Linked DNA regions of Arabidopsis thaliana. The protein of the gene in region 1 interacts with the protein of each later gene in a pairwise test. Each region holds a gene or a part of one and is shown in the gene's direction. Other genes may lie near its edges. The genes, in order: AT4G15470 and PUP8.

What was found.
Region 2: the proteins of AT4G15470 (region 1) and PUP8 interact in a protein complementation assay, tested with the Arabidopsis thaliana proteins (one large-scale study listed by BioGRID).

What each region holds. Positions count from the first base shown.
Region 1 is NC_003075.7:8,841,544-8,846,501, forward strand, and holds AT4G15470 (Bax inhibitor-1 family protein), read left to right. Parts: upstream 1-1,975; 5' UTR 1,976-2,117; coding exon 2,118-2,409; intron 2,410-3,182; coding exon 3,183-3,296; intron 3,297-3,489; coding exon 3,490-3,647; intron 3,648-3,755; coding exon 3,756-3,962; 3' UTR 3,963-4,267; downstream 4,268-4,958. Other genes in the region: AT4G15460 (glycine-rich protein), read right to left, coding at 1-341; AT4G15475 (F-box/RNI-like superfamily protein), read left to right, coding at 4,384-4,659, 4,857-4,958.
Region 2 is NC_003075.7:10,067,418-10,071,774, forward strand, and holds PUP8 (purine permease 8), read left to right. Parts: upstream 1-2,040; 5' UTR 2,041-2,300; coding exon 2,301-2,331; intron 2,332-2,403; coding exon 2,404-3,557; 3' UTR 3,558-3,698; downstream 3,699-4,357. Other genes in the region: PUP6 (purine permease 6), read left to right, coding at 522-573, 665-1,776.

The sequences.
Region 1 (4,958 bases):
CCATGCCCACCTTCTTCTTCTCCATGTCCGCCACCGCCTCCACCAGCATGGCCTCCTCCTTCAACAGCATGACCACCTCCTCCACTAGCATGGCCTCCTCCTACACTAGCATGACCACCTCCTCCACTAGCATGGCCTCCTCCTACACTAGCATGAGCACCTCCGACACTAACATGGACTCCACCTCCACCGTGAGCGCCTCCACCACCGCCTTTGGCAACCACGGTGGTACAATTGACTAAAAGTAAAGTGATAATTAGAAGGACGGCGAGTTTCGCTGCATAATTGGTAACAAAGTGTGCTCGAGTCTTCGTGATTTTCATGCTGGTAATATCAAACATACACCTTTATCAAAACAAACAAGTTCTATATCAAAATTCAAAACATAAACATATATGCGTAGTTGCGTACACTATCTTTGATTCTTAAATTGCTGTTTGCTACCTTAAAACGGAAAAGAGGAATTTGTTATCGTGGGGTGAGATGCTTTAGAAAAGCCTCTATTGTATATATGTGTAGGCAATATTCAAGATTTTTTTGATTCTTTTACTTTTTGTTGTGTTTAGGATAAGTTGTGAGTAATTCTAAAAAATACTCTTTGTATTTATTTTTCCTCAAAATATGGATTTAGATATTGTGTATAATTATCATTACCCTAATTAATGGAAAAGTAAGTTTCACAAAACCTTTGTAGGTTATCATTACCCTAATTAATTATCATTATATTTTTGTAGGTTATAAAATCCATAACAATTATTGTAGCATGTAGCAAAAATGAAAACGAAAAGCATGATATATCATTAGAAAAAAAATATAATTACCATATGCTGGAATTGGTATATTTAGAGTTTGATGGGAAAGTTTAACCTAATCAATTCGTCAATTCAAAATTCAATATAGATTACATTGGTGCTAAAGTTTTAACACGTGTTGCTTCATATATAACTTACTATGTTTAAGATGGTAAAAATTTATAATGTTTACAAACACATGCTTTCTCAATTATTCTATACTTCATAGACGAGACTAGCATTTTGAGATTAGACAAAAGTATCTTATTATATAAAATTTGGTTTCTTAAAGTTACGATTAGACGTGTTTTCCTATTTTTATTTGAATTGGATTTGATTATTTTTTTCATTATTTAATATATTTCTATTTTCACAAAAATTCCATGAAATGATTATTCTGTTTCTCTTTGAAATTAGTTTTTTTTTCACCAAAAAAGAAAAATTTGAAATTAGTTTACTTTTTAATATTAATCATATTTTCAAAATTTATTTATTTATTTCTTAAGTATGTTAACAATTTAACGATAAAGTCATATCATATCTACGACATAATTAAATAAAAATTGGAACTGCAACTAATACAAAACTTACCAAAATAATAAGAAAATGTGCATGCATGATTGCATGTGATGTGTGTATATAAAACACTATTTACTGGTGCGTTATTGTGAATCCATGTCCTAACTTTTATATTTTGTTTGTATAAATTTTTTAAATTTAATTTGTAAATTTTTGGAAATCTTATTATTTGGGTTTCAATAAAATTTTAACTTACTTTTTAAATTTGACTTTCATATATCTCATTGCTTTCCAATCAAAATTTGTCACATGTTTTTAGTTATTTGACGAAGAAAGAATTGATCGAGTATAACCCTAACCCAAATTGTTATTCATTTAATTTATTCTAACTGGTTTAAATGTTAAATAAATTATGGGATGAATTGTTTGGAATAATCCATGTTCATCAAATTTAAATTAATTGACCAATTTATACATAAATTTCTACTTCACAAATAAAAAAGAGTTAAATATGTCTACCCATGAACACAGAAATATGTTTCCTCAAAATAATTAACAGACTTTTTCTCTATTGGTCTTTCATATAAAGCTAACACTAACAGCGTTTTAGACATGAATAATACAACGCGTTATCGTAACAAATCATGTCCGTTCATGTTGCCACGTGTACATCATATTGTTAGATTAGAGGGAAATGACTCGTCGCCTTCGTCAACACAGAATATATAAATCTCAAAATTCTATAATTCGATATTTTTTCCCAGAATCAACCAGATCTGCTTTCGAAGACGAATCTAGCTATTAGCCATGGACAAACCGTACGGATACGCGAGCGTGAGCATGAGCGGCATAGATCGTTCCGCCGGAAAGGATATTGATCTTGAGATGGGAGTCGGAGAAGCGACGCTTTATCCTGGGCTAAGTTACGGCGAGAATCAGCTCCGATGGGGATTTATTCGTAAGGTCTATGGGATTCTCTCAGCTCAGCTTCTTCTTACGACGCTTATCTCCGCCGTCGTTGTTCTTAATCCTCCTGTTAACGATCTCTTGACCGGATCTCCTGGGATTCTTCTCTTCCTCTGCATCGTTCCCTTCATCTGTACGTAGATCTCGTTCTTTGGATAAGATTTTCATTTCATCTTCGTAGTTTTTCGTTGATTTGATCTGGTAATTAGGAATTCTTATGGTTAGGTCAACCTGATTCTGATTTGTGCATTTATGTCCCTTATGTTTATGCATTTCTTTTCCATTTCTCTTCATGGATTGAGTTTCTTCTCGTAACTAGATTTATATCCTTTACTGTGTTTATTATACATTTGATTGTTTAGGTATATATATGGAGGATGGATTGAACAATGTTTTATATGATGATTGACAGATTGATGCTTGGTGTGATGATATCTAGTGTGTTGGTGTTAGGATTCAGAATTGACTTTACTTGATCTTTCACTGAAACATAGAACAAAGAACAGACCAGAAACCTAAGGAGTAATTCTGGAGAATCCCTTACCCTCCTGAGCCCAAACCGACCAAAATCTTGACAACTCACAAATCTGTTATATTTCCTATTGATCCTTTTTCTTCCCTCTAACTATCTCGTCATGTAACAGCCTTGTTCTCTTTTTTCTATTGATCGTTTTTCTTTTGTCACCTTAGGGAGAATTTTCAGATAGCTTGTTCTCTATGAGTTTTGCTTTGTTGACCTCTCATTTGATGTTGGTTTACTTGCTTCAGTACTTAGTTTTGAATTTGTTAGTACTGAGTACCTTGATTTTGTGTTGCACAGTCGTACATCAGCTATTTATTTTATGTCATATTTGTTGACAAGATTTATTGCTCATGTGATTGATTACTGGGAGTTCAATTTTGTAGTAATCTGGCCTCTGCACATTTACCACCAGAAGCATCCTGTTAACCTGATCCTCCTTGCCCTCTTCACTGTTTCATTGAGTTTCACTGTTGGTGTCAGTTGTGCTATGACAGAAGGTTGTTATCTCGTTCCCTTTCATATCATCTGATTCTAACCAATAATATGTGATTTGGTTGCTGTTCCAGCCGCTTCTTAACTCACCTTATTGTCACAAAGAACAAAATTTGCCTGAAACTTGGAATAGCAAAGCCTGTAAAAGTTGTGTGTTTACTAACAATCTATTGTTCTTTCTTCTACGTGTTTTACCAGGACGAATTGTGCTACAAGCCTTGATATTGACTCTGTCTGTGGTCGGATCTCTAACCGCATACACTTTCTGGGCTGCAAAGAAGGGAAAAGACTTCAGCTTCCTTGGACCCATTCTCTTCACCAGCCTCATCATTCTTGTAGTGACCAGCTTCATCCAGGTTTGCCTCTCAGAATCCTCCCTCCTCACCTATATCACCAAACACCCAATAGTTCCACACATACATAAAACAAAGCCTTAAATTTGGTTTGCTGTCGTAATATTGCAGATGTTCTTCCCTCTTGGCCCGACTTCTGTTGCCGTATACGGAGGATTCAGTGCCTTGGTATTCTGCGGATACATAGTCTATGATACCGACAACCTCATCAAGCGTTTCACATATGACGAATACATCCTAGCATCAGTAGCTCTCTACTTGGACATCCTCAATCTCTTCTTGACCATATTGCGTATACTGAGGCAAGGCGACAACTGAAAGGCATAAAACGATGCTTCAGTGATGTGATCCAGTTTATAACTATAAGAGAATCCAAAAGCCTTTATGTGTGTATATCTGATTTCTGTTTGGAGAATTAAGTATATGATGCTATGTGGTTAAACGATTGATATAAACAAAATCAAGCAATGTCGATTTTCAACTTCAAATAAATTTGTTAATTTTGGCGGAATTTTGATGCCTTTTGTCGTATCCATTTCGATATTCTGATTGCTTAAGAGCAAAAGCAAACATTGATACCAAACGTTTGAAGATTTATTTACCATCATCGATAAATTGTTTTTACTTTGCTCTCCTTTTTTTTTAAACTCAACCATACACAAAAAAAGCGACCTCATCTTACCCACCGATCCGCCATTACAGACGAAGAAGAATTTCAACTGCAATCTCTCTCTGAACCATGAGAGGTCACGATCGGATTAACAATTGTTTGCCGGAGGAACTTATCCTCGAGATATTCCGGCGACTTGAATCGAAACCGAATCGCGACGCATGCTCCCTCGTCTGCAAGCGATGGTTATCTCTCGAGCGATTTAGCCGCACCACGCTTCGTATCGGCGCTTCGTTTTCTCCCGACGACTTCATCTCCCTCCTATCTCGTCGCTTTCTCTATATTACCTCTATCCATGTCGACGAACGTATCTCCGTCTCCCTTCCTTCCCTCTCTCCTTCCCCAGTATGTTTCTCTCATCGAAATTTTTCTGTTGAATTTGTGATCGGATCGAGCAGTTTTTGTGTAGTATCATGAATTCGATTGAAATGTTAAATTTTGTATCGATCTGGATTTGAGCTTAGTTGAGATTAGCGTTATTTGATTCTGAATTGTATTTGGATATTTGAGTTATGGTTTACACTTATCAATTATATTTGCAGAAAAGAAAACGTGGGAGGGACAGTTCGTCGCCATCGTCGAGTAAGCGGAAGAAATTGACTGATAAGACACATTCTGGAGCTGAGAACGTCGAGTCTTCCAGC
Region 2 (4,357 bases), 1.2 Mb from region 1:
CATATTAAGTTTGCTACTTTTGTTGTCTATAGATAAAGTGCTACTACGCTAAGGAATATTTTTGGCTAAATAATAAAAGAAATATGACAAGAAAAAACTGGTTGGTAATAAAAATTTAAATTTGGTTCGTGTTTAACGGTTGATAATACTGGTTGGTAAGTTTGATACTTTTGTCTATAGATAACTTGCTAGTACCCTAAGGATTTGTTTTGGCTAAATATAAAATATGGCAAGAAAATTCTGGTTGGTAATAAAATTTGGTTCGTTTAAAGATAGGATCCTACAAAAATGGAGGAGATGATTCATTCCAAGAGTGCCATTTAACAATTCACGGGAAATGGTTAGTAGGACAAATTATAACGATATATGTAGTACTTATAATTTTAAAAACTGAAATCTTAATGTAAACTAATACTAACTTTATTTATTAAAGAATAATATATGCATACGCATTTGCCTGTTATATAAGTAAGCAACACCATCTTTATTTGTTCCCTGACATATTTCTCCTTCAGGTTTCTATGATGGAACTAGAATCAGAAACTCAAGAACTCCATCTTCACGTAAATGGCGGTAAGTATTGTAACAGAAATTCCGGCGTAGAGATTCTTGTGTTCTTCTTCTTTTACTTATGTTCTTGTTCTGTTTCATGTGTTGATGGTAGAACCTGAAGGGAAATTTTCAACAGAAGAGAGAAGTCACAAGTACTCTTGGAGGTTAAGAGTGTCTCTCTATGTCACTCTCCTCTTAGCTGGAGAGACAATAGCCACTCTCTTAGGTAGACTTTACTACGAAAAAGGCGGTAAAAGCACATGGCTCGAAACCTTGGTTCAGCTTGTAGGGTTTCCTTTAACCCTTCCTTGCTATTATTACTTAAAGCCTGAGCCGTCCAAGACTAAAACCATTACCAAAAAAACTACTTCTTCCTTCTTGACACTATCTTTAGTGTATATTGGACTTGGCTTGCTTGTTGCTGGACATTGTATTTTGTACTCATTTGGGCTACTTTACCTTCCTGTCTCAACTTTCTCTTTGATCTCTGCGTCGCAATTGGCTTTTAACGCCGTCTTCTCTTACTTCCTAAACTCACAAAAAATCACACCATTTATACTCAATTCACTTGTTCTCTTAACCATATCTTCTACACTTCTTGTTATCCAACATGAACCAGAATCTCCCTCTTCTACTTCAAAGTCCGCAGCCAAGTCCAAGTATGTGATTGGATACATCTGCGCGGTCGGTAGCTCAGCTGGTTATTCTCTGGTGCTTTCTTTAACAGATTACGCGTTCGAAAAGATTCTAAAGAAATACACATTCAAGGCTATTTTAGACATGGCCACATATCCGTCTATGGTAGCTACTTGTGTAGTTGTGGTAGGACTTTTTGGAAGTGGTGGGTGGAAAAAGCTGAGTACAGAAATGGAAGAGTTTCAACTAGGGAAAAGCTCATACATTTTGATAAACATCGGTTCAACGATATCATGGCAAGCTTGTTTGATTGGAAGTGTTGGTTTGATTATCGAAGTTTCATCGCTTTTTTCCAATGTCATAAGCACTCTTTGTTTACCAGTTGTGCCTGTTCTTGCTGTTGTCTTCTTCCGTGATGAGATGAGTGGAATCAAGTTGGTTGCAATGTTTTTGGCCATCTGGGGATTTGTTTCTTATGGTTATCAGCATTATGTCAATGATAGAAAGCCAGAAGAAGACCAAGAGCTTCCTCAGTCTAAAGAAGAAGAAGAACAAAAACAAGTAGATACCATTCATGTCCAAGCTTAGGCAAAGATCCAAGAAAACCAAAAGCTTTTGTAATTTGAACCAGTTTAATCTAAAATAAAAATGAGTTATATATATTGTAGGCACTACAAATAAAATTGGTAAGTGTCTCAAGGTCTCACAGTCTTCATGTATCTTTGTTGACTTCTGAATCCAAGTCAAGTGTACTTATGGCCTTCCCGTCTTGTTGTATCGTTGTTGACTTCCAAATCCACAAAATAGATTACTAACATAACAAAAACAAGTAATAATTTTTTTTTTTCAAGTGGACGGACACTTGAGCCAATAAGATTAGAATAAGATACAACAATATCAAGCGTCTATATATCTGTTTTCACCAAACTCAGCCTACTTTAACAACGTTGTGTATAAGAAGTTTTCTTAAAACCGCCAATTAAAAGGTTTCAATAATTCAAAGTCAACGGTAAACATCTTTACAGAAATATGATGCACTTGTTCCCACCAACCTTCATATATATAAAAGCTTTACCAAAACTCTGTTTGTGGGAAGTCCTCTTAGAGTGGTCATGGAAATAACTCAAGTAATCTATGTCAATGGTAAGCAAGATGCATCTCGTAGTGTAGATTACTTGATTCTTTTCGCTAACCTGTTGTTTTTGATGTTTTCAGATCATAACAACATAGAAGCAAACCTAACAGGTCAGGAGGAAATGAATACCACCATGGAAATCGAATCTTCGTCCGTACCTCAATCGAAGAACTATAAGAAATGGCTTCGTATTTCCATTTACGTGTTCTTTGTCCTTGCTTGCCAAGCACTTTCTACAATTTTGGGCAGAGTTTACTATGAAAATGGTGGGAAGAGTACATGGATGGGAACACTTGTCCAACTAATCGGCTTCCCTGTTCTGTTTCTCTTCCGCTTCTTTTCCCAAACCAAAAATCCCAAACCAACAGAAGCAGATTTCAGAAAGTTCTCTTCCTTCACCATTCTTGGATCAGTTTACATCGTTACTGGACTATTAGTGTCTGCTAACTCTTATATGTCCTCTGTTGGTTTACTATACTTACCAGTTTCTACTTTCTCCCTCATCTTGGCCTCACAATTGGCCTTCACTGCCTTCTTCTCATATTTTCTAAACTCGCAGAAGTTCACACCTTTCATTGTGAATTCTCTGTTTCTCCTTACTATTTCCTCTGCCCTCCTCGTGGTCAACACTGATTCGGAAAACACAGCAAAAGTGTCTAGAGTAAAATATGTGATAGGGATAATATGTACCATTGGTGCTTCTGCTGGGATTGGATTGCTGCTATCCCTGGTACAACTGATCCTCAGGAAGGTTTTAAAGAAGCAAACATTCTCAACGGTCACTGACTTGGTCGCTTACCAATCTCTAGTTGCAAGCTGTGTGGTTCTCATAGGACTTTTCGCAAGCGGGGAGTGGAAAACTTTAACAAGTGAGATGGAAAACTACAAACTGGGGAAAGTGCCATACGTTATGACTTTGGCCTCGATAGCTATTTCCTGGCAAGTCTACACCATTGGCGTCGTGGGACTGATCTTTGAGTCATCTTCTGTGTTCTCCAATTCCATAACTGCTGTGGGATTGCCTATAGTTCCAGTTGTAGCAGTGATTGTTTTCCATGATAAAATGAACGCGTCAAAGATCTTCTCCATCATTTTAGCTATCTGGGGATTCATTTCATTTGTCTATCAGCACTACCTCGACGAAAAGAAGTTGAAGACTAGCCACACAAGTCCTGTAGGAGATCCTCATCTACTACCTGCTGAGGAAGGTCACACAAACATACATAGTGTATGATCAAAACATATTTCCAGTGTAAAGCCAATGTATCTTTGTACAGTTTGAGCATAGATATAAAAACGTGTATCTCTAGTCAATCATAAGTAACTGATAAGTTTTGTACATAAGATACCAATAGTTCGGATCTTTTTTACTTCTATATACCGGAGATACCCATAACTTAAAGATGCAAATGCAATACTCTGCTTTGTCATTTTGCAATGCATTTGAATCACCAAAAAACAAGAGCAAACATCGATAGCAGAGAGGCAAATAGGCTAAAGCATCCTTGGAAAACCAGAGCTTTGAACAAAAAAAAAGAAACAAGTGAACAAAAATAATACCCACTTACCTGGAAGCCACTGACATAACAAATAACCAATGTAGTGACTTGAACAGTGCCTTGTAAAAAGACTCCTTAAAATACCAAAAACGTATACTCCAGGAGCTTGGATTCTTGTATCTTTGTTGACTTCTGATTAAACGTCAGTAGACACTGAGAAAATAAAAAAAATTCTCGTAGAGCCGCCATTCAAAAGTTTCAAGAATTCCACAAGTCAAGTGTAAGCAAATAAGAAAAGTCACCGGTCAACATGAGACTACTAAATAATGATACTGCTACTGTCATCTATCGCCTGCCCCATCCATATAATACGATTTACTAAAAGCCTGCCATGTTTGATAATGCAACTTGTGTAGGGTATTTAGATGTTTTTTTGTAATACCATCAATGTGTGTTTAAAGAAAGGCCTCTTGTGTATCTGCACGACATCTCAAACAAAACCAATCAATAAAAACAAGAAACAATCTTCTTTCTC